3 linked regions of the Diceros bicornis minor genome follow. The protein of the gene in region 2 purifies or fractionates together with the protein of the main gene of each other region. This does not show direct contact. Links are inferred from orthologs where the notes say so. Each region holds a gene or a part of one and is shown on either strand. Other genes may lie near its edges.

Region 1 (9,511 bases), on a different chromosome or scaffold from region 2:
AAAGAGTATCACATCTCCAGCCTGAACGCTGGGCACTGTAAAACTAGACAACTTTATTTTTAAAACCATTGCTGTTGAAATGTCAAGATGGACTGGAAAAGATGCTAATGGAAAAGAAATTGCCCTTCGAATCTTAAAAATATTAGTGAAAAGTGTCCAAGGGGAAAATTGCAGATGTTTACCCAAGATTCTACATGTTTGGGTGAAAGAATTTGTACTTTGAAAAGCCAAGAGGAGTACTGCCTCTCTCCATCAGCCTGAAAATAAACATACTGACATACTACATAAACAGGGAAGGGCCCACATGGGTTTGTATGTTCAATAAGCAGGGAAGGAATCAGTATTTGCTAATTGGCAGCTAGCAAGAAAAAAAGGATCCATTTATACTTTGAGCCTTTTGTTGTTAATGCATTGTTAGGTCACATGCAACTCCTAGGAAGCATTTCTAGTTCTACCCTCCATGATGACCAGACAAAAGGCAGGAAACGATCTGCTTAGGGTACCGTATTTCTGGTAAATCTTTTACATACTGATCGGGGCCATGAGGTATTGGAATTGTATCTCCTGCGGTGGTTTGAGGATAATCCAGCCTTGCCAGATTGTAAAGTGATCGGGGTGCTGCACAGTGTTAATGCACACGGAGAACACTGTGGGAGGCAGAGGAGAGTGCGGAGGAGAGGCAAGGAAGTGCCAAAGGTTAAATAAACAAAAAAATCTTTGAGAGCCAAAGCATTCAACAGACTTTTCTTTGATCTTTACCAAAATTTATGAAGAAATCCAAAAGGAATTTGATAGCAGACAGGAGTTGTCCATCAAGATTATTTGCTTCTTAGCTCCAGAACTCACTTACTTTATGCAAACTACTGGAAATGATCAAATTGCTTGATCGTGGATGTAAGCATCCTCAGGAAGGTTTCTAAGTATGACTTAGTTTATGTAATTGAAACGTAAGGGTAGCCACTCCAAGAACCCATAAAAACATCAGTTACATATTTTCATTTCACCTGAGTCATCTGAACAATCACCACAGTTGTTTCTTGTGTCACACACCTTGTCCACATATATCCAAGTCTTCTGGTTGGGACACTTGAATATCAAGTTTTGTGGGAGACTGCTGGGCATTTTGCCTATATTAGACAAAGACATTAGTTCTAATAGAAAACATTCATGCATGATAATGTTTTAAGTGTAATTCTGAATTTTAGTTATTCGTTTCTGGTGACTATTCTTTAATCTTGATTATTTGTCCACCTCGCATTCATCTTCACCATGACTGCAGTCCAGCTTGCCGTTACAAAGCAGTGACGGTGACAAGCAAGTAGTGAGGTCGTCACACAGGAAGCCAAGGTGCTGTGAAGCTGTCCTACAGTATTGATAGGGCAGACCTGGAAGATGTATGAGCTGAGTACTGGATGTTGTCGTGTGCATCCCTGGCCATGAACATCAAGCTGTAATAACAGAATAACCTGCTCCTCCTTCCCCCTCTGCTTCTTTCCACTGTTCTTTTTCCCATTATTTCTTCTCCTTTTCTTTCTTTTTCTCCCCCATTTTCCAAAACTCTCTAGACCTACCTCGCTTGCATTTCTTGCACCACCACTGGCATTTGGGCAAAAAGTGTGGACTCACTCCTGCCTGACGAGGAACCCAAGGGGACCGGCAGGGAGTCAACAAGCCTGAACTCTGGGGTGAGCCTGGCGGTAGCCCTGCAGCCCCTTCACTGTTTTCTTAGCTGGAAATGGCAATGAAGATAACTTGCTTCACCAACCTCAAGGGGGCGCTGTCAGTTAAACTGACTTCATCGTTCACGTGCAGGGAAACTACTCACCAAAAATGAGTGGGAGTTTGTCAAAATAATGTGATATTTAAAAAAAAATTTTAAGTACTATAAAAGTTTAATAGAAGTTAAGGTGTAAATAGTGGATTGGTAACCCTTATATCTCAAACATATTTACACCTAAAATAATGTATTTCCAGAAAATTCCAGTTTGGTGTGTAGAGTGGTAAATAGGCTGGAAATATGTGAGATACCTGGGTCAGAGTTGGTGAGGGCTGAGTGCAGGTGCGTTTGCATCTTGAAAGTTTTGTAGTTGGGACCAGGTTGATAATTAAGAGGCAGATGACACCACAGTTTGTATCCCCTAATCCATGAGGAGCTGATTTCTCTCAAATCACCAACAATGTTTAACACCAACCCAACCAAATACTGAATCATTCGCTCTTCTGTCTTGTTCACCACTGTTTCCCTAGTCTCCCTACTTACAGCAGAAACTCCTTGAAGGTAGAAACCATGTCCTGTGTGAGCTTCAGAGTTGGGCGGACCTGGATTGGAATTCCAGCTTGTAGATTTACCAACTACATGGATCTTGGGCAAGTCACCTAACTTCTCCGAGTCTCTGCTCATAAGGGTGATAATGGTGATAACAACCATCACCTCGCAAGACTGTTGAAAAGAACGAAATAAAGATGACGTGTTAAGTGTCTAGAGCAGTGGTTGGCACATCCCTCAGGCCCATTATCCCGTCATCAGGAGACTCAGCCCCTATCACCCAAATCAGGAGACTCACCCATTTAGAAAATAATTGGGGGATAAATATATTTTTGTTGGTTGAGTGAATTATCAACAGATCCAGCACCTTGGGGAGACACATACTTGCAGGTTTCACAGGTATCCCAAAGGTGATCTCAAGACTGATAGCAGAAGCCATAAGTCCAAGCACAAGGAATGCCATGAAGGAAATCCAGAGACACTGCCTGGTGGGAGGCCAGCGTTGCTCTGTCAGCAAAACACAAACATGAAGAACAAGGCTTCATCTCAGGGCAGAGGCTCATGTGGGGGCTACGGTGCTAACCAGCCAGCTGTTGCCTATGGTCACGTCAGTGGGAAAGGCAGGAGCCAAAATGACAGGACCTTAGAAGTATGCTTTGAACCGTAGTGGTGCTTTCCTGTCTACAGTTGCTAATCCAATCTTTTGGGCCCCCAGCCTTATGATGAGTGGCTATTGCTCCCCGCACTGTGAAAATGAAGCTCTAAAATGAAGAAACAGGGCCAGTGAGGGGAATGACTTCTGAGGTTTATGCTGATGTAAGTGGAACTATCTCACCTTAAACCCAGGTCTTCTGGCTCCCTCTCCAGGGCTATGTCTACTCTGCTGAAGTTTCCCCAAACCTGGTTTTCAGGCTACTTCTACCAGAATCAGTGCAGAAAATGCAGATTCCCAGGCCCCACCCCAGACCTATGGGATCAGAATCTCTAGGCGGTGGGGCAGAGACCTGCATATTTTTTGAGCACTCAGGTCATTCTTGGACACATCAGTCTGAGAACTAACAGTCCTATACCAAAGAGGAGTGCAGACTCGGGGCTTGGGTTCCAACCAGACGCTCCTCAGGACTCTTGCTTACTCGTGTCTGGCATCAGCAGTCCCTGACGAGCAGGAGGGGAGCTGCTTCCCTTGGAGTGGCTTGGCACCAGGCGAACTTGCCTGACCAGTGTTACCGGCATGCCACAAAGAGGAAACAGAGCTCCCACTGCTCCTGGTCGTTGCCGTCAGCAGCACTGCCTTCACAGTCAGACTCCTCTCTTTGCTAGTCCCGAGGTGGCCCAGCGGCCAGAGCTCCTAAATCTCTCTGAACCTTCTTCAGGGCCTGAGTCTGCAGTTGTGGGATCTCCTGGGCCTCCATGTAAGGAATTAGCATTCAAACCCCCTGTGGGTAAACAGTACATTTTAACAGGAGAGAGATGAGATGGCATCTTTTATGGCGACCACTCCTAGAGTCTAAGGCTTTTGTCCCTTTGGAACTATATCAAGTATAAAGATTAATTCTTTTATCTCTAACACCTAACAGTGCTTCACAATCAACAGCCCTGTCACGCAGCTGTGCGTATTCACATTACTGGTGAAGAAACTGAGGCTTCAAGAATCTAAGTGTCAGCAAGTGTAGAAATAGGGACTCGACCTCAATCAGACCCTCTCTCTGAGTCCTCTGCCCACCACAAAGCTGCACTGAAGATTTTCACTCTGCTGGGTCACAAAACCCTGCAAATCCCCGCGCCTTAAGCCCGAGTCTCCGGCTCCTGGGGTCAGTGTGCATTAGTCCTTCCCACGGTAGCTACAGCCTTTAAAATGTTCTTACTCTTTGATTAGAAATCCCATTCTGGGCCTCTACCCTGTGCATATAATTGGATCTGCAGAAGAAAGCTTTATGTGGAAAGATTTTTTACAAAATTTTTATGTAGTGTAATTTTTAACGGGAAATACTAAATGCTAAACGAATTCTAAATGAAAACGCTTCAGTGGCTTTAATATTAAACGCCTGTTTACTAAAAGTGATCAAATAAACCATTCAGTTTTATATGTGATGGATCCTCGACGGGGTAAAACAATCATATAAAGACACCAAGCGTGAAGAGAAAGCCTGCGCAGTCCGCAGCGGCCGTCTCTGGATTGCGGTTCGTTTGTTCATCATTCATTCCTTCGGCAAATATTTGCGGAATATCTGTGTCTGGCGTGTGCCATGCTCCGTAGACACACTAACGAACAGGACAGATGTAGCCTTGGCCTGAGGCGAGCTGGAGGTCTGGGGACAATGTGATGTTTAGCAGACGGGTTTGTGTCAGAATCACTAGGGGGGAGGGGGGAGCGTTAAAAATTCGCGTATTCGTGGCGTTAGGGCATAATATAATTTTTTAAAAAGCTCCCTTAGTGATTCTGAAACACAGCCAGGATGATAGGTACTCTTCTAGAATAGAAGTCTCCAACCTTTTATGATCCCACATCCCTTCAGTAACACAACAAATAAACGAAATAAAATTAACATTCCCCCCACGACATATGAATATTTATTTATAAATTCTACGCCTGTACTAGTCCACTAATGTATTACGTATATTGTAAGACATTGTCGAAAATTGAAATTTAGGAAGGGTGAAGTTAAATATACTATAAAGATAGAAATCTTAATAATTTCTTCCCTGACCCACTGGATCCTCCTTGGCGCCCTGTGAGATTCATTTGGAAATTACTTCTCTCTCTAAAGGACAAAGGGGCTGTGAGCGGCGAACAAGAAAGGAAGCTGCTTTTACGAAGTCATTGCTTATTTAGTAGGACGGCCTCGAGGGGGTTGGAAAGGCTCATGCAAACGCTAATCATTGAAACAGACATTGAAATAGACCTGTGACATTACAGTGGAATTAGAGCGACACAGCCTGTCTTTATTACCTGGGTGGCTGATGCGTAACTGGAAATCATTCCTCTGCGCGTCAGCGGACACGAGGGAGTTTATGGGGTCTCTGGGCCCTAAAATCCATCTTAACTAAGCCGTAACAGCCAAGAAAGAGGAAGAAGGGATTGTGCAGAGTGAAAGATGAACGAGGGGCTTGCCCGAGGCCTGCAGCCAATCAGGGCGAGGCTGGGGCACTGCGGTCCTGAGGAGGAGCTGGGCTGGGATGCTGAGCGGAGCTGCCCGGAGGGGCGGTGAGCCTTGCGCCTGCGCAGTATTTCCTCACTCGGGCCCGAGACCCCGTCGGCTGCAAGGCCAGTGTCCGCCCTGAAGAGGGCAGCAGAGAGCAACGAGTGGGCCCCAACTCCTCGGGCTCCGCGCAGCCCGCCGCGCAGCAACCACCACCCCTCTCTGCTCAGCGGCGGCGTGGACTGGAAGGACCCCAAGGGCCAGGAGATGCTCGCGGCTGTCCCATGCTTCTCGGGATGACTGGCCGGGACGTTTTGAAGCGTTTGGAGGTAAATCCGCAGCCACTCGCCCCTGCCACGGTGGTCGTGTCTTCTGTTTGCAAGCAGTATGAGGTAGTTTAAGCACCTTCAAATGCCTCTAGTTTACTTTCAGAGGGAACCCGGGAGGTAAGCGGATTTGTAGGACCGTTTCATAGATGAGGAAACAGATGCCCAAAGATTGAACACTTGACCTGCCTTCCATAGCTGGTTAGTGACAGAGCCGGACTTGGACCCAGATCTCCTAAAAGCAAGTAGAATTTAACTTTTCCTGCTAAACTCACTTCTCTTAGAGTTCTTGGGCCGTTTCTCAAGGATCTGCATATTCTCTTTGAGAATATAAACTTTTGTTTTCATTGTGGTGATAATCTGTAACAGTTATTAAAGCGTATTCTGAATCCTCTGGATGACCATGACTGACTGGTGGCATGTGTTGTCAGGATCTTGATTTACTTTGTGTTTATCCTTCAATTTGTGCTTGTCTTTGAGTTTGTACCAAGTGAAATCCAGTTGACTTCACGGTACACTCTATCACTGAGATATTTTGCAGCAGGCTGAACGCAGAAATGTGGTGGGAGAACTGAGTCATCTTAGGACACACAAAATACAGGCATGTCAGACGTAAAAGTAACTTGCCCACAACGTCCATGTTCACGTTTCCAGGAGACGTGCACTGTGGTCGCAGTCTTTGAAAATATCAGCTTTCAACCGTTCAGTTGATAATAATTTTAGTGGTAAGCATGCCTTGAAGAATGGTTCTGTTCTGGAGTCAACAATAATTGGATTAGTTGCCGCTGCATGCAGACTGATCTCTTCCCATAGAAGGGAACTGTACAGTTATCAAGTACCATCCATGTTGCTCACTCGCAGTGTCAGTTAAGTGAAAGGTTTGCTTCTCCTGAGCCACAAACAGGCTGGGATGTACGAAAACTCCTGTGTGTAAGCAAACAGGCGTCCTCGGGAGTTGTATTTTCAACTTCACAATAGAGAAGCAAACTAAATATATGACCAGGCCTGAGCTAACCGTTAACCCCAAATTGGCAATTTAGTTTCTGTAAGACAATATGGTAGTCCTCCCTTATCCTCAGGGGCTACGTTCCAAGACCCTCGGTGGATGCCTGAAACCACGGATAGTACCTTACCCTACATACAATGCTTTTCCTATACATACATGCCTCTGATAAAGTTTAATTTATAAATTAGACACAGTAAGGGAGTAATGGCACTTGTGCTATTATTAAGTAAAATAAGGGTTACTTGAACACAAGTACTGTGATACCACAACAGTTGATCTGATAACCCAGATGGCTGCTAAGTGACTGACGGGTGGGTGGTGTGTACAGCGTGGATCCGCTGGACAAAGGGATGATCAAATCCCAGGCGGGACGGAGAGGGATAACTTGAGATTTCATCACGCTACTCAGAATGGCGAGCAATTGAAAACTTATGCGTTGTTTATCTCTGGAATTTTCCAATTAATATTTTCGGACCACAGTTGACTGTGGATAACTGAAACTGTGGAAAGTGAAATCACAGATCAGGGGGACTGCTGAAACATCCACTTACCCATCACATTAAATTAATATTACAAATTTGAATTTTATTAGTTTTATGGTATTTGGTTTCAATTTTGTTCTGCAATTATATAGTAACCCATAAGCGCAGAGTTTATGCATTGTTTTATGGTTGTCCGTATTGAAATAACATTATAATAAACATTAAAATGATAGCGGTGTGGTGGGAGTCGGGAGCCTGCAGTCATTTTCCCAGAATGCGAAGGAGTCCACTCAGTGCTGGGTGTGAGGAGGCTGTCTCCTCTCCTCTTGGCAGTCTTGCTGCATTCCCTCCCTGCACCAAGCCCTCTCACCTCTGAGAGCTGCTCAGATTCCTTTTCTTCACCTTTCTTCTTAGCAACATCAGCCCCCACTCTTCTCTTACTGTAACTCCACACTCAGCTCCTCGGCTCTCAGGGAGCTCTCCTTCTCGGGAAAAGTTTTGAGACCCTAATCTAGTTCAGTTACCCTTCTTCACACATGAAGAAACTGGGGCCTCGATGGCTAAAGTGACTCTAGTTCAAGGTCACCGGAGACTGCAGCCAGCATTCCTGGTTTTCAGCCTGGGAACAGATCCACAGAAAGGGCAGAGGGAAGCAGCCGTCGCTATTTCCCACGGGCCTGCTGCTTGCCTGTTCCTGATGCGGGAGGGAGGCGACACAGGCATGGTGGAAGGCATTGCGAGAGGGGCGAGTACCGTGCAGCGTGGTGCCTGGACCTTCCAGCGTCTGAGCCGAGGCTGCGTGATGAAGGGCACAGTCACTGGAGTCAGCAAAGCCGACCCTGGACTTGACCTGCCAAGAGGAGCTGGTGACCCTGGGCAGCCGTTGCCTCCCTGCAGGCCGCAGCTTCCTTGTCTGTAAAACGGTCAGGGTTGCAGTAGAATTTCAGTGTCTCCCAACCTCCCCTGAAGATACGAATCCCTTGGCGTGTTTCTTAAAAACCCATGTTCCTGGGCCCCCACCCTGAGCTGGAATGTCCCAGGGGAGATGCCTGGTAACCTGAAGTTAACAGGGGCCTCAGCTCTTTGTTACCATCAGGGAGACTCCGGACCAGATAAGTCCTGAGGCCTCTGCCTCCTCTCCTTCTGCGTCAGCGAAAGCCCCCGATACACTGCAAGTGTGACGCTGAGAGGAAGAACCTGGAATCGGCACCAGCCCTTCACCCCTAAGAGCGCGGTCAGTGTGTCACTCAGCAGGTCTCCGAGAGACAGGGACAACGAGACGGGTGGGCTTTAATCAGAGGAATTAACTGCGAGGGCACAGGCAGGCCTCCCAGGAGAGACGGACGACTGTGGAGCAGCAGCGGGGTTTTCCGGGTGGCTGGAGTTGGACACGGCAGGCCTGAGCCTGAGCCTGGAGTGCAGCCGTCTGCACTTCTGAGGGGAGCCAGCTCTGTGGGTCTGTCCAGTGTAGTGTGTCCCTTAGTGGTGGCCCGGCTTCAGGGGAACCAGCTGGGCTCCCCTGGTGACACGTCCTAGCTCTATAGGAGGCCAAGCTCCATTTTCTGTCTTAATGAGCAGTGACACCATCCAGTCAGAAATGGACATGCAGAGATGGGGGGCGTACAGGAAAGATTGTTCTGCCGCTTGTTAAGACGGTGAGGAAGACTTCATCTGAAACGACTGCAGTAGGGGGAGAGACTCACCTCAGCTCTGAGTACAGCAAAGACGGGGCATTTACAGCCCCCGAGCAGAGGGAGGGGGCAGCGGAGGGAAACTAGAAAGAGGAACTTGATTCCACCTCAAGGGGAGAGGGATCGTGATAAACCGGCTGAGTCGGGTTCGTGCTCAGACTGGGCTCAGCAGGCCAAGGTCAAGGTCAAGGTGAAGGTCAAGTCGAGAGGGAGGCTGGAGGAGCCTGACTAAGCTTCATCAAGGACGGAGTCTGTCAGGGGCTGAGATGAGTTAATAAGGCGCTGGTGGGGTTGCGGGTTTCTCTCTGTCGGGCTGAAGAGCTGGCTGAGGAAGAACCATTGGTGGGTCAATACGGAGGCTGACTGGGGCTTGTACTGCTTGACAGGCAACGTTCGTCATAATGAAAGAGTAACAATTACAGCTCTCGTTTGTTATTTTCCACGTGGCAGTAATTTTATATACATTATTTCAAATCCTTAGAAAAACCCTCCGAGATGGTATCACTATTTTAATTTTACGATGAGGAAACAGGCTCAGGAAAAGCCTTGTTGAAGTCAGGAATTGAACCCAGGTCCGTCAGATTCTCAACCCCGAGGGTT
Region 2 (10,120 bases):
CACACACAAGTCACTTAATAACTATGGGGCCAACACCTAGATTACCTGACTCATTAAAACTATTGTGAAGACTAAAAATAACATGAAAAAAAATGCTTTAAAGACCTTAAGTTCCATTCAGATGAACAGCTAATTTTTTTAGACAGGATAAATAAATCAGCATTTCCACAGTATAATTTTGACTATAATTTAGAGACTGGTAGGTATATTTTAGTCATGAATCAAAAAAGGCTCAATAACAAAAAGATGAAGTTGTGAAGTTTCTAAAGGTCAATCAATGCAGAGAGATTGAGAAGCCGTTCTTGTAAATAAGCTTTTGATGACTGATGGTGCAGTATATTTTCCTTAAAGGATATAAGTTATAGCAAAATACAGGCGGTTTCAGAGAAGCAACAAAGTGTTCACACAGATACACAACACATTCTAGGAAGATCATGGCAGGCAAGATCAATCTTTAAGGCTTCTGACCACATTTTGAGATGGGCATGTGGGGACTGTTTAGGAAAAAGGGATACAGAAATATTTTCAGTGCATTCCCCACTTCCTGGGAATTCAGAACAGTGGCCTAAGTAGGCAAAGGAAAACAGATGCTTAATAGCTGGGTCAGAGTGGCTGCACTTGCATACTAACTCCTGGCGCTTCAATGAGCACACACAGCTTTACCCACTTATGTAGGAGGCCCTGCCTGAGCACAGCTATTGATACTGGCAGACATCTAGAAATGCTCCTGAAAATAAGAATTCTGTGGCCTACAGCCTCAGCTCTGCTGCTATACCCAGTCAGGCTGGTAAAAACTTGTGCTAGACCTACTGGGATGCCGCAGATGTGAATACAAATGAAGTTCACACCCAGCTTGTAACAATCTAGCTCATAGGAACCCGAGGACTGACCTGGCCACATTTATGCATGTGAGGGTGTATTTACCAAGTTAGTAAGAAACGTAGAGAAAGGCATCCCTTTATTGAATTCAGAAATTCTGCTTTAGTGCCTTAAAATATCCTATTGCCTGAATCCTATTATTCCTTTTCTTGCTCCTTAAGATTACTATTCTAAGCAACTGTTCTCAGTAGATACCTGGGCACTTCACTGAGGACACACCTGATAGAGGTGACAGGGAATATGTATTTCACTTAGTGTGGAGGTGACCAAAAAGGATACGAGAACATGCAGCCCCATCTGTCCCCATCCCCTTGAGAGTAAGCAGAAAGAGTTAGTAAGAGAATAAAGAGGTGAAGGAGTATAATACAAATCAAATGCTATTAGTAATAACAAACACAACATCACAATGAAAATTTTCTGTATAACAACAAGATTTCTAAGTCTTCAATCTCAACTCATTCCAACACTTAAAGACAACTAGAGCAATTTCTATGCATTTGTTCTAAGATATTGCTTGTGTAGAAATTGCAGCTTTATCAAGAGCAGCGTTTGAAGCCACAGTATGATGAATACATTATATCAAATCATGAAACCAAAAGGAGTCAATGGAAGAGCTCGCCCAGCACCTCTCTTTCTCCAGAACCTTGAGTTTAATCCTAGATTTGGCTAGGACCAACTAACTTGTCTTTGGACAGGAATAATTCCAAGTTAACAATGTAACTGTAGAGCCAGGGAAAAAGTTCTGTGATGTCACTTTTCAAAAAGATGTTTAAATTCATTCTATTTCAGAGTGGAATCTCACAGGCCACAACTAGAGCGTGGACTTGGAGAGATGAGGAGGTGTGGAAAAAACCAAACCTCTTTCTCTGCAATGAATTATTTGGACTCCTCCTTTATCTCATAAAAGGGGGGAAATTTTTTCTACTCAGTTTTTCCGGGCCTTCACAAAGCGAAATAAACTAAACAATACTTAAGTTCTATATTCCTAACTTAGTCAAGTGACTAGCTTTGCTAAGGAAAAAATTTTTTAAAGCACTTTGCACTTTTTAACTCCCAATTTTTCCTCAAAAACAATAAAAGTCTTTTTGGGGGCTTTGAAATGTCTAGAAACGATACTTATCTAAGCTTGCCCCAGATCATCCCCAGTCTTAAGACCTGGCATTAGTTTGGAGGTCTTGGGTAAAGTCACTGTTGCTTCTCAGGACAGTGCTCCAGATGACTTCGAGACCCCTGAACAAACCACAGAGCAGCAAAGGAACCAGCAGTCTCAGAATCCATCCAGACCCACAAGGGGAATCCTCATCAAAACCCAAAAGGTTTGACTGGAATCAGAAGAATCCGGGATACACCTCATTTAACTACCATTTAGCTTCTTTTTTTTTTTTTTATAATTTTTATTTATTTATTTTTCCCCCAAAGCCCCAGTAGATAGTTGTATGTCATAGCTGCACATCATTCTAGTTGCTGTATGTGGGACGCGGCCTCAGCATGGCCAGAGAAGCAGTGCCTTGGTGTGCGCCCAGGATCCGAACCCGGGCCGCCAGCAGCGGAGCGCGTGCACCCAACCGCTAAGCCACGGGGCCGGCCCTGCCATTTAGCTTCTATCTCTATATTGAAGTTAGTTACTATTAAATTATTAAAAACATGAAAAATCAAAGTGCCACTACAATTTAAGAAGGAAGAAAAGTCCAGGCAGAGTGTTATCTTAATAATACAAAAAACTTCATTTCTCACATAGCTAACCTTTTTTGAACACTTATAAGGATTCTCTCATTTCATCCTAAAAACAATCCTATGGGGCCGGCCCGGTGGCTTAGCGGTTAAGTGCACGCGCTCCGCTGCTGGCGGCCCGGGTTCGGATCCCGGGCGTGCACCGACGCACCGCTTCTCCGGCCATGCTGAGGCCGGGTCCCACATACAGCAACTAGAGGGATGTGCAGCTATGACATACAACTATCTGCTGGGGCTTTGGGGGAAAAAATAAATAAATAAAATCTTTAAAAAAAAACAAAAAAAAAAACAAAAAACAATCCTATGATTGTAGGCATTGTCTTATCACTCCCATTTTACAAATGAGAAAACAGGCTTAGAGAAGCTAAAGGTTAAGTAACTGGTCACACAGCTAGAAAGTGGTAGAGCTGGGACGAGAACCCTAACCCCTCCACAATATGGCCTCTTGCAGTCCTTTCACAGCCCCATCTCATGCACTACTTTGCATGAGAACTTCTGATTGCTTTACAAATATCAGCCTTTCTCACAGCTTCTCTTATAAATGGTAAATAAGTAACCTATGGGGAAGATCTTATAATTTGCCACCAAAGTAGCTATCCTATCTGTGGGGCAGGCACTTAAAAACAAAAAATAAGCCTGCTTTTTGTCATATCCAACTGATGAAAGTTAGGTTTTTGAAATCTCTAGAGATCTACTCAATGTCACCTCCAGGATTCAAAACTTTACCCTAACCTCTGTTCCTTAGTGTAAGGCAGAATAAGCCAGGAAAACAGAGCAAGTTCTTTGTCACAGATTCATTTTACTCTCCCACAAAATTTAATTCCCTTATCTTTTGGTTTTTGAATTGTTAAATGTTAACATGTTAAAAGATTACTGTCTTATAGAGAACAGCATGAGCAGAGATCCTCGTAATGGTAACTGCCTTCAAAATAAAATGTGGCAGGAGAAAGTGCAATACATATCGCACTTGCATATCCAATTAAATAGATAACAGCTTTTACTGAAACAAGAGGCTTTGACCCAATGTTTTAACCTAATTACAAATAATTAAATTTTACTAGAGCAAAACAATGTTTTATAAATTTTTTTCATTAGAACTTTTCAATTCATCCTGTATTTTAAGCTTTTAAGAAAAGGAATAAAAGCTTAACTTTAAAATTCTTAATTTAAAAAATTAAATACATGACACAAAATGTTTGCAAACTGCTAGGCCAACAGTTAGCATTTACTGAGTTCTTATCTGGTCCCAGGGACTATTCTTTGTGTTTAGGGATACAGTAAGAACTCAAGTTGTCAGATCTGGATTCTGCCACTTATCCTATGTGTGACAGTGGGGTAATTTAACCTCGTTTCAGTTTCCCCACCAATAAATTGCGCATAAAAAAAAACCTACTTCAAAGAGATGTTGTGAGAATTAAATGAGGTTATGAATGTAAAGTTCTTAGCACAGTCCCTAACATATGGTAAGCTTTTAGAGTCAAGCTATTGATTACCTGGAAGAAGTGGCATTTTCTTACTATATGTCCAATCAAATGTCTTAATACTACACTGTATAATTATTATTTTAATGTTTGTAGTGGACTGAAACATCCTATAAAAGCAGCAGGTCATCAGAATAAAATCAAGTTTACATAATGGGACAACAAGTCAAACATGGCAGTCAGGGTTCACCAAACTGCTTCAGGGATTAAGTTCTGGAAGGTTTTTTTCTCTAAACATGACTATTTCTGTGTGCCTTTCTACCAAATGAACCATTCAGCAAGTTTATATACAACTGAATACAGATTATTTTTATTAGCAGTGTTATTGTGGTTTTGTGACTGAGGGGGATTGTTTAAGTTTCAAAGGGGATCTTGTCTCTTGACAGGCTTATGTCACCAAGTGCTAAAATTCTCAATGAGACGCTTGCTCCCCTCCAAAAAGGGGCTATGGAGGGTAGGTGGAACTGAATGCTTCCAAACTTTTCATTAGTGAAGAGTGTGTTCAAAAACGTATGTGGATACTATGCATACACGTGGTACTTTCCCGTAACATTTTAGGATTCCCATGATGGAGGGAATCAATTACTGGTATTTGTAGACAACGGGCGGAAAAGATGGCTTCAGTCGATCTGAGTTACTCCAGTTTTCTCCATCTTCTGCTACTCTGCAACCCCTTCTCAACCCTTCCTGCTCTTACTGCTATGGCACCCTATCTTCCCCAAAGCCCCTTCCTTTCTAGCCCTGCTTGAGGTCTCCCTTAACCCTGCATTCTCCTCCCACTGGTCCCCATCTTCTCCACCCTCTCTCCTGGCCCCCTCCCATCCCTGCAGTTTGATCTACAAACACTTCCTATTTCTAGTCCCGCCCACTTTCTGGGACTTCTCAATAGGCTTCCCGTCTCTTCTCCACCCCCCTCCAAATTACCCCCAGACTTTCGCTGGGACCTCTTACCAGGCTGTTTAACCCTTTCTCCGATCTCCCAGAGAAATTATTCTTTAAACTGCCTTCCTCCACACCCCCCACCGGAATAATCTTCCAAACCGTTTACCCTCCTCCCAAAGATTACTCTTTAAACATTCTCTATCACCCTCATTCTCCAAATCGTTCCGTTTCCCCCCTCAATTCTGAAGTACTTCGCTCCTCCAGCATCCCACCCCACTCTTCTCTCACCTCTCACTCCGCCCACAAAAGAACCGGGATCACTCTCCAGACTGTCTCTTCCTTTTAACCACCCTCCAAATTACCTCTTCCAGCAGCCTCCCCCCTGCGATTTAAAATGTTCCCTCAAACAAACCTCACAGTCCTACCCCCCCACCCCACAAAGTCCCCTTTCTGATATTCCCTCTATTTCCTGGGTTCCAGTTCTACCCCGCTCCCGCAAGCCTCGCGTGCTGAGCTCCCTCCCCACCCGGGGAAGAGCCCCTTTCCGCACATACCTCGAGGTTCCGGCCCGCGCCGCCCCCTTCTCCGTCCTCCGCCCGCGCTCGGCCACCCTTTCCGCCCTTCTCCCGCTCCGCCCCGCTCGCTCCCTTCCTTCCCTCCGCCTTCCGTCTCCACACGGCTCCCTTTGGCCCTCCTACTCCGGGGGCCCCTCTAGTTCGCCCCCACCTCAGCGCGGCCCTGCCCCTCCCCTCCCCCTTCCCGGCCGCCCCTCCCCCGCCCGCTGCTCCCCGCCCCTCGGCTCGCCATTCTTCTCCCCGAGCCGCGCGCCCCACCCGACCCCAGTTCCCTAGCTTCCCGCTCCCTCGCACAATAGCCCCCATCCCCGGCTCGGTCCTCGCTCCCCGCGGCCTCCCGCGCCCCCGCCCGCGGCCTGACCTGCAATGGCGGCCGCCGAGCGCGGCGCCGCGCGGCCAACGGGCGACAACCGAACCTCCCGCCGCCGTCGCCGCCGCCGCGAGCACTGCCTGCGCACTTCCGGCCTTGCGCCGCGAGCACTTCCGGGGCAGAGTACGCCAGCGCGCGCGCACGTGGGGCCGGGGCGGAGAGAGGGGAGCGCCTGACCGTGGGTGAGTTGGGGAAGGGGTCGGGGAAGCGAGTCTGAGAGAGGGGAGTTCGAGGGGGTGCGACCTGCCCTAGGTGGACGCCCCGCGGAGCTCGTCGATTCCCTTGTGCCGAGGCTGGTGGGGGCTACTCCGTAAGTGCCCGGAGAGGGAAGGGGTGGCCGAACTCTTGCGCGCGCTTCAGACGCCCTCTTCGCCGGGCCGGGCGGAGCACGCCTGCCTTGCCCGTAGGCTCCTGATCTTGAAGGGAGACGAGTGAGGGACGAACCAGATCCGGCCCCTGCTCTCGCCCAGTGTGTGTGTTGGCGGCGGGGTGGAGGTAGTTGACAGATGCCAGACCAAGTCCTGTCGCTTCCTCCTTGAGGAGCTCTTGGTTCTGCCTGCCCCGTCAGCCCCACCATCGCTACCATTGCAAATTTAGCATGCAATAGAGTTAGGAAAAAATGTTTGCTAAAATGCAGATTCCTGAGCCCCCCCCCAAGAGATTGAGATTCTGGAGCTATGGGGTAGGACCTGGAATCCTGCATTTGTTAAAACCGTTCTTCGAGGTGATTTTGATGCAGGAATCCTGCAGACCTGACTCTGAGAGACTGATTTAAGCTGTCGATATTTCTTGCTTCTTGACAGTCGTCGTGTTTTTACCCTCTTTTTCTGCTCCCCCTCAAGAAATCTCACACAGAATAGAAAGGAGGACCTTAGTTTTTGCCTTGAGTACAACTGGTCACCTCTGTGTGTCTCCCTGCGTTTAGGTGTGCACTCCCAGTTAGAGAATGAGATTGTGTTCTGTCTTTTGCTCTAAGGTCAAGTTTTAGATTCTCACCCCTCTTTTAGGCACTTGTCAGGATTATTAAGAGTCTGGGTGGTGCTCTATATGCTGGTCTTTTAATTTTTTTGCTGAAGTATCCTGAACTTCTGGAGATTGATAGATTCTTGTGTGGGGCATAAAAGCATCATTAATTAGATATGTATTGAGAAATGAACCTCAGTAAGATGTAGTTGGAGTCTTCTATCCAGAACAGTGATGATAAACAGGATGTATGACATACTGCAGTTAATGTTTAACAATAATTTTTTTTTCTCCTCTAGGAATGGGTGAATTTACGGTCCATCGAGTGCGTTTCTTTAATTATGTTCCGTCAGGGATCCGCTGTGTGGCTTACAATAACCAGTCAAACAGATTGGCTGTTTCACGAACAGATGGCACTGTGGAAATTTATAACTTGTCAGCAAACTACTTTCAGGAGAAGGTAAGTCATTTGGGAGCCTGATTTGGTGTTTCTGATCTTAATTTTCTTCTTAAGTTGGATTATACAAAATCCTTTGTGTCTTTTGTATTCAGAGAGACGTAGGGAAGGGGACTCTCCCTGGAGTTGTTTAGAACTACATAACTTCTGTAGCAAATATGCAATCTCTTCTCTGACTGATGATGAGCTCAAGAGTTTTGATCTGTGTAATGTTGGTTAGAAAGATCCTACCTAAGAACTGTGGGGGCTCACTGTCATTTGGAAACTGAGGTTTGCTGGACCTTTTGGTCACAACAACAAGGGAAATTCTCAAGACCATTGCTTTATATGTCTGCACCATAGCAACTTTGGCAAGGCGGCATTTCCTGCTGGTGGAGTCAGTACTCATTGTCAATTCAGAAAAAATGATGAAACTTTTTTTTATTATTCCAGTAACATTGATTTATAACATTATATAAATTTCAGGTGTACATCATTATATTTCAATTTCTGTGTAGAAACATTTAATATCAAACTTTTTGGTTACATGATGGCAGGAAGATGGATTCCTGAGTTCACCTGTGTGAGAGAACATAGGCTTAGAAAATGCCTATATTTGGAAGTAAAGGAGATTTTTTTTTTTAATTATTTATTTATTTATTTTTCCCCCAAAGCCCCAGTAGATAGTTGTATGTCATAGTTGCACATCCTTCTAGTTGCTGTATGTGGGACACGGCCTCAGCATGGCCGGAGAAGCGGTGCAGCTGGTGTGCGCCGGGGATCCGAACCCCGGGCCGCCAGCAGCGGAGCGCGCGCACTTAACCACTAAGCCACGGGGCCAGCCCTAAAGGAGATTTTTAAATTAGGTAAAATACCATTTGGGTGTCTTCAGAGGGCTGTTACAGCAGCGTATTTTTCAAAGGCACTGATTACTGATTTCAGGTGCAACAAAATAATTCAGTTCACATTAATTTAGTGCCTTGTGTGCCCTAGGCACCCTGATGTAAATGGATGGGTGGATAAATGAATGAGTTCAGTGCCCAGGAGCCTAGGACTTTGAATTTAGGCACTCTGTAATGTTTCTAAATGAATGAGTGGCAAGTATTAGGCATTAAGACCAATGTTAGAGGCCCTACCTTCAAGGAACCCAGTCTGGGGCGGGGGGGAGGATGAATGTACAGTTTCCAAAAAGTGGGGTAAATTTTACCGTAAAACTAAGCACAGGCATAGAATCTTAGTGGAGAGGTGCCTTACTCTTTCTGATGAGATAGGTTTAAGAATCCTGAGAAGGGATGACTTATTGCGCTGATCCCTAAAGAACTAATAAGAGTTAAAAAATTGCCAGGCACCACAAATGGGTCACGTTCTGTAGTATGAAAAACATACTGTGGTACATGCTTGTTGCATCCTGTGATTTTTCTTGTCATTTATGACAATTATATAAAAATTTGTATATTTGTTTAGTGTCTTTCTTTCCCACTGAACTTCAAATTTTATGAAAACAGGGACCATGTCAGTGATATTCATGACTGTAATCCCAGCATTTACTAAGTGCCTGGTATAAAGACCCTGCTGAGTTAATATTTGTTGAATGAATAATTCAACTATTCCTTCCGTGGTACCTCTTATTTTCTTCTCTCATCTGTTTTTTTCTTCAACAGTTAATTAATTCAGTCTAGTCTTCTGCTTTCTCCATACTCTCTTCTCTACTATATAAAATTGCTTAGGTCTGTTAATCACTCTCAGAACAAGAAAAAATTGTATCTGTTGGAGTGAAAAGAGTAGGGACTTGGAGTAAGGAGACCTACATTCTCTTCATGTCATTGACTTTGTCACTTTGGGCAAGCCACTTAACCCACAAGTACTTCAGCCTTTTCAAGTTCAAATAGGAAAAATTATACCTACTCAGTCCCTTTTGTTTGAAGCAGATATAAGAGTAAAATGCCTTGATAGATATGAAAACTTTTTGAGTGCTAAGAAAGCACTTAGAAATCTGAGACTTGAATGAAAAGCTAGAGTGCTGCATTTGTTTATCTTATTTTTATTTTTTAAACAGCTTTATATAGGTAAAATTGACACACAGTAATCAGCATGTATTTGCCAGTATCCACATTGATGACTTTTTTTTATTCTTGATGTTTTAATAGTTTTTAACATTGTGAAATTTTGTGTTGTACATTTTTGTTTGTCCATCACCTTATATATGACTCCCTTCACCCCTTGTACCCACCCCCAACCCCCATTGCCCCTGGTAACCACAATACAGATTTCTCTGTCCATGTGTTGGTTTATATTCAACATATGAGTGAGATCATAGTGTTTGTCTTTCTCCTTCTGGCTTACTTCACTTACTTACTTACTACCCTCCAGGCCCATCCATGTTGTTGCAGATGGGACGATTTTGTCTTTTTTTATGGCTGAGTAGTATTCCATTGTGTATATATACCACATTTTCTTGATCCAGTCATCAGTCGAGGGACACTTAGGTTGCTTCCACTTCTTGGCTATGGTGAATAATGCTGCAGTGAACATAGGGGTGCATAAGCCTCTTTGGATTGTTGATTTCAAGTTTGTTGGATAGATTCCCAGTAGTGGGATGGCTGGATCATAGGGCATCTCTATTTTTAATTCTTTGAGGAATCTCCATACCATTTTCCGTAGAGGCCGCACCAGTTTGCATTCCCACCAGCTGTGTATGAGGGTTCCTGTTTCTCTACATCCTCTCCAACATTTGTTGTTTTTTGTCTTGGTGATTATAGCCATTCTGACGGGCGTGAGGTGATATCTTAGTGTTGTTTTCATT
Region 3 (9,801 bases), on a different chromosome or scaffold from region 2:
TCATGTGCTTATTAGCCATTCATGTATCTTCTTTGATGAATTGTCTATTCAAGTCTTTTGCTGATTTTTTAGTTGGTTGTTTGTCTTCTTAATTATTTATATATTTTTTGCATGTGGATATCCAGTTGGCCCAGTACTATTTATGAAAAAGACTGTACTTTGCCTATTGAATTGGCTTGGCACCTTGCCTATATCAATTGACTTCAAGTGTAAAAGTTTATTTCTGTACTCTTGGTTTTGTTCCATTGCTCTATATGCCCATACTTGCACTGTTATCACATTTAATTACTGTAGCTTTATAGTTAACTTTGAAATTAGGTAATGTGAGTGTACCAATTTTGTTCTTCTTTTGAAAAATTGTTTTCAATATTTTAGGTCCTTTGTGTTTCCATATCAATTTTAGAGTCAGCTTATCTATTTCTACAAAAGTCCTGCTAAGATTTTGATATGGATTTCATTGAATTGCATTGAATTTATAGAGTGAATTGAGGAGAATTGCTATTTTGACAATATCGAGTTTACCAATTCATGAACATGCAATATCTTTCCATTTATTTAGTCCTGCTTAATTTTTCTCAGCAATATTTTGTACTTTTCAGAGTACAAGTCTTGAAATTCTTTTGTTAAATTTATTCCCAAGTATTTTATTCTTTCAAGTGCTATTGCAAATGGAATCATTTTCCTAATTTAATTTTCAGAAATTGTCCATTAATACTATGTAGAAATACAATTGATTTTCTGTATATCGATCTTGTGTCTTGTGACCTTGCTACATTTATTTATTAGTTTTAGAGCTTTTTGTGAATTCCTTGAGATTTCCTACATGTCATCTGTGAATAAAGATACTTTTACTCCTTCCTCTTCAATTTGGATGCCATAACAATAATAATTACTAACAATAATTATTATTATTATTTACTTTACTGCACTAGATAGACCCTTCAGTAAAATACCAAATAGAATTGGTAAGAGTGGACAGCATTGCTTTGTTCTCATTCTTAGGAGGAAAGCATCAGTCTTTCGCCATGAAGTATGAAGTGAGCTGTGGGTTTTTTTGTAGATTCTCTTTATCAGGTTGAGGATGTTCCCTTCTATTCCTAGTTTGTTAAGGTTTTTTTTTTTTTAAAAATCATGAATGGGTGTTGGATTTTGTTCAATTCTTTTTCTGTACCTTTTGAGATTGCCATGTGTTTTTTATCCTTTATTCTATTAATGTGTTGTATTACATGTATTGATTTTTGAATGTTAAACCAATTTTGCATTCCTGGGATAAATCCCACTTGATTATGGTGTATAAACTTTTTTATTTATTGCTAGACTTGACTTGCTAATATTTTGTTAAGGATTAGAGATTGATAGGCTCTATCACTCTTTAGGACTTATAGGACTTTGTTTAGCCAAATTGTTAGTAAATTGGATGAAGGGCTGGAATTGGGGGCAGAGGGAAGATTGGAAGAGCCTAAATTACAAGCATGAACAAAAGAGCAGAGCCCAGAACAAGGGTGGTAAGGGCAGGAAACCAGAAGCAGGTCAGGATCTGGGGTGTGATGTTTGAGGCAACCTGTAGTGAGTGATGATAGGGGAGACCATCATCAACAAGAACCAGATTATAGATTGTAATCCATATATATTAAGCAGTATAGACTTTCTTCTATAGGTACCAGCAAGCTTGCGAAGGGTTTTGAGTAGAGAGGTAGAATGGTCAGATTTATGACTTGCAAAGATTATACCAATGGGCAGCCTGGAGAAAGGGAGTCCAACCAAAGCAGTGGCAGCACTTCAGGTGAGAGATATAAGGTTCAAATAAGAACAGAGGTGGTTGAATTGGATGGAGGTGAGGAAATTGAGTGGGGAATTATTTAAGAGATAAAAAGAATCTGATGACTGATCAGAAGTGTGTATGTGTTTGGGTAGAAATGAGATATGAGATTGGGTAATAAACAGGGCTGAATTCTGGCTTTCTACTATGGCTAACTGGATGGCTGGTGGTATCACCAACTGGGGCAAGGGATACGAAAGAATGAACACGATTAGGTTCAGCTGCATGTGACACAACCCAAAAGATAGTAATTTAAACAAGAGGGATGTCTATTTTCTCTTGTATAAAAAAAGTTCAGAAGATTTGGTCCAGGGCATATATAAGGCTTCAGGGTCTCTAGGTCCTTCTCTATTGTTGCTCTGCCCTTCTTAGCATGTTCTTTTCTCCTCAAAGTCCAACATAAATGCTCCAGGTTTGGCCACCACATTTGAGTTCCAAGGATTAAGAAGAAAAAAGCAAGCCAGCCCTGATGGCCTGGCTAAAGTTCGGTGCACTCCGCTTCAGCAGCCCAGGTTCGGTTCCCAGGCACGGAACCACACCACTTGTCTGTCAGTAGCCATGCTGTGGCGTTGGGTCACATAGAAGAAATAGAAGAACTTACAACCATACACAACTATGTACTGGGGCTTTGGGGGGCGGGGCGGGGAAAAAAAGAAAGAAAAAGGAGGAAGAATGGTAACAGATGTTGGTGTAGGGTGAATCTTCTCCTGCAAAAAAAGAGAAAAAGAATGCAGGAAGCATCCCCCAGATAGGAGGGATTTAAAAAAAAAAAAAAGAAGAGGTAGAAGAAAAAAGCAATGATGACTAGTATACCCTCTCAATTTAAGGATATTTTTGTACTGGCCTATAGTCATATGGCCTCACATTGCTGCATAGAAGGCTGGAAAATATAGTCTTCATTCTGGAAAGTCATATGCCCAGGTAAAGAAGTGCCCCAGGGCACCCTGATGTTAGAGAGTGGGACATAAGGAAGAGCCAGGAGAGAAGACTGAGAGGAGCAACCAGAGAAGTAACAAGAAGCCAGGAGGGTGTGATGTCGTGGAAGACAAGCACGCTAATGACAAGCCAAGTAAGATTTGGACTTAGAATGGACACATATTTAGCAGTGTGGAGGTTATTGGTGGCCTTGGGAAGAGTTTCTGTGTAGTGGTGGGTGAGGATGAAAGTCCCACTGGAGGAGAGAAATTGAGAAAATTAGACTACTTTTTTGTTTTGTTTTGTTTTAAAGGAAAGAAATATTGGAACAGCAACTAGAGGGGGAAGTGGGGTCAAGGGAATTTTATCTTTTAAGAAGGGAGAAATAACATTATATTTATATGTTGATGAGAAGGATTAAGCTGAGAAGTAAAACTTGATGCTGGTAGAGAGAGGAAAGACTTTTTGGAATAATTTTTTTTTTTAAAATAATTTTATTTATTTATTTATTTATTTTCCCCCAAAGCCCCAGTAGAGTTGTATATCGTAGTTGCACACCCTTCTAGTTGCTGTATGTGGGATGCAGCCGCAGCATGGCTGGAGAAGTGGTGCGTTGGTGCGTGCCCCGGATCTGAACCCAGGCTGCCAGCAGCAGAGTTCTCGCACTTAACCGCTAAGCCACGGGGCCGGCCCCTGGAATAATATTCTTTTTTTTTTTTTTTTTGTGAGGAGGACTAGCCCTGAGCTAACATCCAGTGCCAATCCTCCCCTTTTTTCTTGAGGAAGAGTGGCCCTAAGCTAACATCCGTGCCCATCTTCCTCTACTTTATATGGGATGCCGCCACAGCATGGCTTACCAAGTGGTGCGTCGGTGCGTGCCAGGGGTTCCGAACCTGTGAACCCCAGGCAGCCGAAGCAGAGCGTGCGCACTTAACCGCTTGCGCCACCAGGCCGGCCCCTGGAATAATATTCTTGAATGGACAAGAGAGGATGGGATCTAGAACTTATGTGGAGGAGCGGCCTTTGCCAGGAGCATGGACAATTCATCTGTAGTACAGGAAAGATGGAGCACAGGTGGGTAGCGTCTGTGGTACTGGGAGCTCGTGGAAGTTCTCTTCTGATTGCTATTTTCTCAGAAAATAGGAAGCAAAGTCATCCACTGAGAGCGAGGTTGGAGGAGGAAGTTTGAGGTGATAGGATATGAATTAATGTCTAGGAGAGTGGAAGAGTGAATGGACTAGGGAACAATTGATAACCTGGTAGCGTTGACTTCCCACATGACATTTGTGATCATGAATTTAAAGTGGGTAAGAGTCATAATAGAGTGGTTGTGGCTTTTCTCTACTCACTTTCAGCTGCTTTTGGGTGGAGAGTTAGATTTTACCAGGCTTGCAGTTTCACCAACGAAGGACTATGATGTGAGAAAGAGGCAAGGGAGTTGAGAATTGCAATGACAGACTTTAAGATGAATTAAGAGGGAAGGGCAGCCGTCAGGGAGGAGGGGTGAGGGCTGGTGAAAACATTGTAGGATCGATGAATTGATGGTCCTGTGGGGTAGAAGGACTGGCTGGAGCCTGGGAGCTAGAGGGAGCGGGCTGAAAAAATAGGAGTTGGTGGTTAGAGAGCAGTGTGTGGAAACAGAGATTATGGAGGGGGTGCAGTTATTGTAATGATAAGGTCTGCGACATGACCGTGGGAGTGAGTGGCTGGTATAAGGTAGATGCCAAGATCATTGAAAGGGAGAAGGTCAAGAAATGATATGTTTGGGTATTGGAGGGTCATCTATGTGAACCCTACATAGTTTCATTGGGTCAGGTCGTCCATGCCCAAAGATGACTTGGGTTGGAAATCCAGCTTCTCTTCCACTGCCCAGCTCTATATCTCAGTTTTTTTAAATCTGAAAAATGGAGGGCTGGCCCCGTGGCTTAGCGGTTAAGTGCGCGCGCTCCGCTGCTGGCGGCCCAGGTTCGGAACCCCGGGCGCGCACCGACGCACTACTTCTCCGGCCATGCTGAGGCCGCGTCCCACATACAGCAACTAGAAGGATGTGCAGCTATGACAGACAACTATCTACTGGGGCTTTGAGGGAAAAAATAAATAAAAAATTTAAAAAAAATCTGAAAAATGGAGATATTGATAGTTTCTACATCCTAGGGCTGTTGGGAGGACTAAGTGAATTAATATACATAAAACACTTAGAACAATACCTGACATATAATAAGTGCACAATAAATAGGCTTTTATTTGTATATTTACGACTAACAAATCACTCTAGCTCAGATCTTTTTTCATACAGACCTATATATGTTTTTTTATAACAAAAATCCTTGAAATAGTTGTCTATACTTTTCTGCACTTTCTCACTCCCTTTTTTCCCCTCTACTCTCTTCAATAAGTTCCCCCCCCACCTCTCTACTAAAAATGCTTTTGAAAAGTCACCAGTGTCCTTGATCTTGCCAAGTCCACTGGTTAATGCTCAGTCTTCATCTTACAGCATTTGACACGGCTTTGATCATATCTTGCTTGTGAAATTCTTATAAAACTTTGGTTTTCAGGGCATCTCATTCTCCTGGGCTTTCATCCTGCCTCACTGTTACCCCTTCTTAATCTTCTTTGCTGGATCTTCTTCCTCTTCCTGACCTTTAAAGACTGGCATAGTTTGGGGCTAAGTTTTCTTCTCTATCTATACTTACACCCAACATGATCTGACCAGTCCCACAGTTTCAAACAGCATCTGTATGCTAACGCATCCACAGTTTACATCTCTAACTGTGATCTTTTCATATATCCAACTTCCTACGGAACAACTCTATTTAAAGGAATGAGCTCCGCTCTCCAGGGCACAGTCAGTCACATTGCTCCACACGTCCTTTCCCTTCCCCAGTGCAAGCTAGCATTGGCCCACCGGGCCACCGTCCACACAGTGGGCCCGCCCTACGCTCGCCTGCGCGGCGAAAGGCCACGCCCTCGACCCTCGGCGCTTCCTCCGCCCCACTTCCTCCCTCCAGACCCCGCCCCGCGTCGGTGCGCCTGCGCACGGGCGAACACGTGGCTGCCGCGGAGCCAGAGCAGCAATGGCGGCGGGTGGCGGCAGTGTTGCCGACCCCCTGTCTCCCGCGGGGGTCCCCTGCGCCTTCTCCCCCCAGAGCCAGGCCTACTTCGCTTTGGCGTCTACCGACGGTCACCTGCGAGTGTGGGAAACAGCCAACAACCGGCTGCACCAGGAGTACGTGCCTTCCGCGCACCTCAGCGGTACCTGCACCTGCTTGGCCTGGGCGCCAGGGCGGCTGCAGGCCAAGGTAAAGCGAGCGGGATGGCGGTGGGCGGGCGCCTGTCGGACTCGGCCTCCGGGTCCCCCCGGCCCCTCGGCGCGTGGCCCAGCATCGCGCGTGGCCCTCGACGGCCCGGGGCGAGGAGGCACGGGGCGCGGCGGCGGCGCGGACTGGGCCCACGCCGCCAGCCCTGTGTGCGGCCTGTCCCGAGGGCAGCGAGAGAGGGCGCCGCCCGACCTCACGGGCCGTGGGCCGGCACCCTGCCGGCGGGCTCCATGCAGTCGGCAGTCGGCGCCCGGCGCCCCGCAGTCGCCGGGGCCGCCATGTTCGCGGAGGCCCCCGGCCCCCCAGGGGCGGCTTCCTGCTGCCTGGCCTTGCTCATCAGCGTGCGCTCTTCAGAGCCTTGGCCTTTGACAGAGCTCCACTTTGGGGCTATACTACTTCTCCGACCCCTGTCCAGCTTATTGGCTTTGCCCTGGGCAGTTGGAATGAACAAGTCTGTTTCCTTGCTTCCGGACAACCCCAACCGGCCCCCCCCCCCTCGGGTGCCGGCTCACCACGTGTTCTCTTCCACGTCCAGGATGTGGGACTTGCACTCTTGAAACTCTTGACTTTCCCAGGGTCGTTTCCATTCTCGGCCGTTTGAACCTTCTTGCTTTTTTATTTTTAACTTCTGCTAGGCTCCACTGTTGTACATCTCCTTTCCCCCAAGGTTGAAGTCTGCATTAGGATATGGTGGTAAACTGAAGTAGTTGAGCTTAATGATCGTGAGTCCAGGTGAAGTTTCTGTTAGATAGGACACTGCCGAGTTAGGGAAGGCTTTTCACTCTTAGCCACCCATCTCAGGTAAGATGCTATTCACTGTGAGTCACGCGACTACATCTGCTCTAACTCACACGCACGTGGGAACTGCAGGTACAGGGTAGCCAAACTGAATCAGTCCAGTGTGGTTTGGAAGCATCAGGTATTGTGAGGTGTGTGGTGTTCAGCTGACACTCTGTAAAACTTCAAAAGCTAGTATTTAGTACAGATCTTAACTCCCTTCTGACTACCCTAGGGAACTTTCTGCTAAATTTTTAGGTTAAAAGTAGGGATGCATCTAACTTGTTCTACTTTGTATAAGTATGTTTAGGTATTTTTCACATTTTAAGCTTAATTTTCATAGTTTCTGGATGAAGTGTCTCCTCTTGACTAATAAGAGAAACCTTTTCAGAGCTCTTAGTCAAGCACAAAACTTGGACTTGTGAAAAAATCGTAGTTGTCAGTGTTAAAATTACAGCACTCTGCATATTTTTCTTTCTCAAAGTTGTTTTTTATGTTTGTATTTTAACATTCCTGTAAAGTGATAATACTAATGAAGAGGAGAAATACAGAGCAATGATTAGATGCATGGATCCAAGCTATGCTGCCTACATTTGAATCCAGGCTTGGCTTCATAGTAGTAATTGTGCCTATAGTTCCTCATTTGTAAAATGAGGATAATAGTATCTACCGCATAGAGTGGTTGTGAAGGTTAACATATTTAATAATGCATACAATATTTAGAATAGTTCTTGGTGTGTAAGTGCTGCAAGTGTTAATATCGTTATAAGTATCTCATATTTGTGTGATTAGTCCTGCAAGGTAGGTAAAGACTAACTTTTTGCCTTGTTTGGGAAGAAAAACTGAGGCTCTAGAAAGTTAAGCAACTTGAAAAAGCCAAAAATGGAACCAGGACTAGAATTCTGGTATTTAGAGCTCAGTTCTCTATTATCTGCAACAAATAGTTAATATTAGGTTGGCAAAAATTTGTCGCCCACTTTGCTTTTCTGTTGACTTACTATCACATTGTATACCTCAGGAATAAAATTTTTGCCTAGTCTTAAATTTCCTGTTAAGAGTCTTAGTTTTAGAATATATATAACACTTTGATACAATAGAAAATATCTGGATTTGGTTTCATAATCAGGACTCAAGTCAAACTTGCTTTTGTCACATTGAGCAAGTCACTTTAATTTTGGAGGCTTCATTGAAAAATGAGAGTTGGGCTACATTAAAAAGTTTATACAGGTTTCAGTATCGTTTTACCTGTATGCTCTTGTTTTAGCCACACAACCCAGTGAGATGCCCTGAAATTATTACATTTTTAAAAACTGAGAATCAGGACTAAGAAAGTTTAAATGACCTCACCGAAGCCCTAATACACAGTAAAGTAGTTGAAGCGACTAGAGTTGAGATACTCTGGCTCCTGGTCTAGTGCTCTTACACTGTAACCTTAGATCTTGAATCACAGAATTGACAGCTGGGAGGAGTGTAGAGACATCCAGTCCTCATCATCTTGGGAATGTGTTCTCTTAGAGCATCATTTTTACTTGAAAATTAGGAAGTGAAGCAGTTTTCCTGTATTAAAACAAATTTGCACATATATTATGGTATAAAATTAAAAAGTCACATGATTTTTAAAGATAGAAAATGAAGAGTGATTTGTAGCAACTGCTTCAACCTTTGCTCTCAGGTCCCCGGGGTTATGATGCTTGCCGCTTAAGTTTTAAGATGCTCTCATCTTATGAAACCCTATTATTTTGCAACTTTGAGGCTTAAAGTAAGAGGCATGAAAAGAGTGTTATTCTGAAGCCTATGTTCTCAGCATCTTGTTAAGATCTTGTTTCTCTCAAATGTGAAATGGAGATTATGCCACCCACCTTTCAGCGTTCTGAGAGGATTAAATGAGGCAATGTATGTGACTGGTGTAGTATGGTCTGGCATGCAGTAAATGCTCAATAAATATTAGTTATTGAATGATTCATTGAGTGTTCTATATGGGCTCATTTTATCATTTACTGCTACATTCCTCAATATAAATCAGTTTGTAAGAGTGTCCTGCATCTGGTTCAGTAATTTGCAGTTTGCCACCCAAGGACAAAGTTTGGTCACAGTATTCTTATCGATTGAGAATTGTGAGTTGGTGCTGGATTTCTTGGGTAACAGGAGTTAAAGCAGTGGTTCATAAATGTTTAGGGAAATTAGATTGCTGCTTCTTGTTCTTGGTCATAGAATGATTATAATACTTGCATTTATGACACAATAGTTTTTAGAGGGTTTTCATATATATATTATATAGCTGAGCATTCCTTTTGGTTGATGGAGCCTGGGGCAAGAGGACCTCCTAGGATGACGAGAAAAGTGCAAGGCGACAGATTGATGGACTATAGATGGACGCCGTGTTTAGAGCTGCTCAGATTTGCGTATGTAAACTGAGGCTAAGATGTTAAATGATATGCCAAAGCCACACAGTAAATGGCTGAGCCACCTAGGAACTGACCCTGGTGTTCTGTTGCCGCCTTAAATCTCTCCAACTTTTCTACTTTTCCTTCCCTAACTGCTGTAGAGCCCTGGTGAAACAGCCTTGTCTGCTGTTGGCTACCGCAGTAAATGTACTTACGCTGCTTTGCTGTCACTGCAGTTAAAATGACCCACACAGCTTAGTGCTTGTTGAATGAACCGCGTGGCATTTCATACATTGGACAGGACAAGCACAGTAGCATTAAGGATATTTCTAGGAAAAATCTCAGCTGAGTATCCCCACTTCCATTTCTTAGAGATGTAGCACACTCGACTTCTGTACGATGAAGGCTGTCTTAAGGTCTCTCCAGTATTTAAACTTCAAAAGAAGGTAAAGTTTGCAGATTAGATCCCATTGGCAGAAATAGAAATTCCTGTGTATTAGAATTATAATTGTTTTGATATAAATACTGTATGTAATTATGTGTAAAATGCACACATTTTGTTCACCTTTATCCATGAAACTTAAACATT

The links. The genes of interacting proteins can lie anywhere in the genome.
Region 1: the proteins of UTP4 (region 2) and UTP15 purify together in Homo sapiens (co-immunoprecipitation; 4 studies listed by BioGRID and IntAct, counting the BioPlex papers as one, with this or other methods). This does not show direct contact. The link is inferred for Diceros bicornis minor from reciprocal best matches to the Homo sapiens genes UTP4 and UTP15.
Region 3: the proteins of UTP4 (region 2) and WDR43 purify together in Homo sapiens (co-immunoprecipitation; 5 studies listed by BioGRID and IntAct, counting the BioPlex papers as one, with this or other methods). This does not show direct contact. The link is inferred for Diceros bicornis minor from reciprocal best matches to the Homo sapiens genes UTP4 and WDR43.

The regions. Positions count from the first base shown.
Region 1 is NC_080740.1:3,225,106-3,234,616, forward strand, and holds the start of UTP15 (U3 small nucleolar RNA-associated protein 15 homolog), read left to right. Parts: upstream 1-5,496; 5' UTR 5,497-5,735; intron 5,736-9,511. UniProt on the Homo sapiens protein: Ribosome biogenesis factor. Involved in nucleolar processing of pre-18S ribosomal RNA. Required for optimal pre-ribosomal RNA transcription by RNA polymerase I.
Region 2 is NC_080771.1:20,660,232-20,670,351, forward strand, and holds the start of UTP4 (U3 small nucleolar RNA-associated protein 4 homolog), read left to right. Parts: upstream 1-6,029; 5' UTR 6,030-6,100; intron 6,101-6,186; exon of another isoform or gene 6,187-6,228; intron 6,229-7,180; 5' UTR 7,181-7,182; coding exon 7,183-7,341; intron 7,342-10,120. UniProt on the Homo sapiens protein: Ribosome biogenesis factor. Involved in nucleolar processing of pre-18S ribosomal RNA. Part of the small subunit (SSU) processome, first precursor of the small eukaryotic ribosomal subunit.
Region 3 is NC_080751.1:54,132,317-54,142,117, reverse strand, and holds the start of WDR43 (WD repeat-containing protein 43), read left to right. Parts: upstream 1-5,786; 5' UTR 5,787-5,808; coding exon 5,809-6,033; intron 6,034-9,801. UniProt on the Homo sapiens protein: Ribosome biogenesis factor that coordinates hyperactive transcription and ribogenesis. Part of the small subunit (SSU) processome, first precursor of the small eukaryotic ribosomal subunit.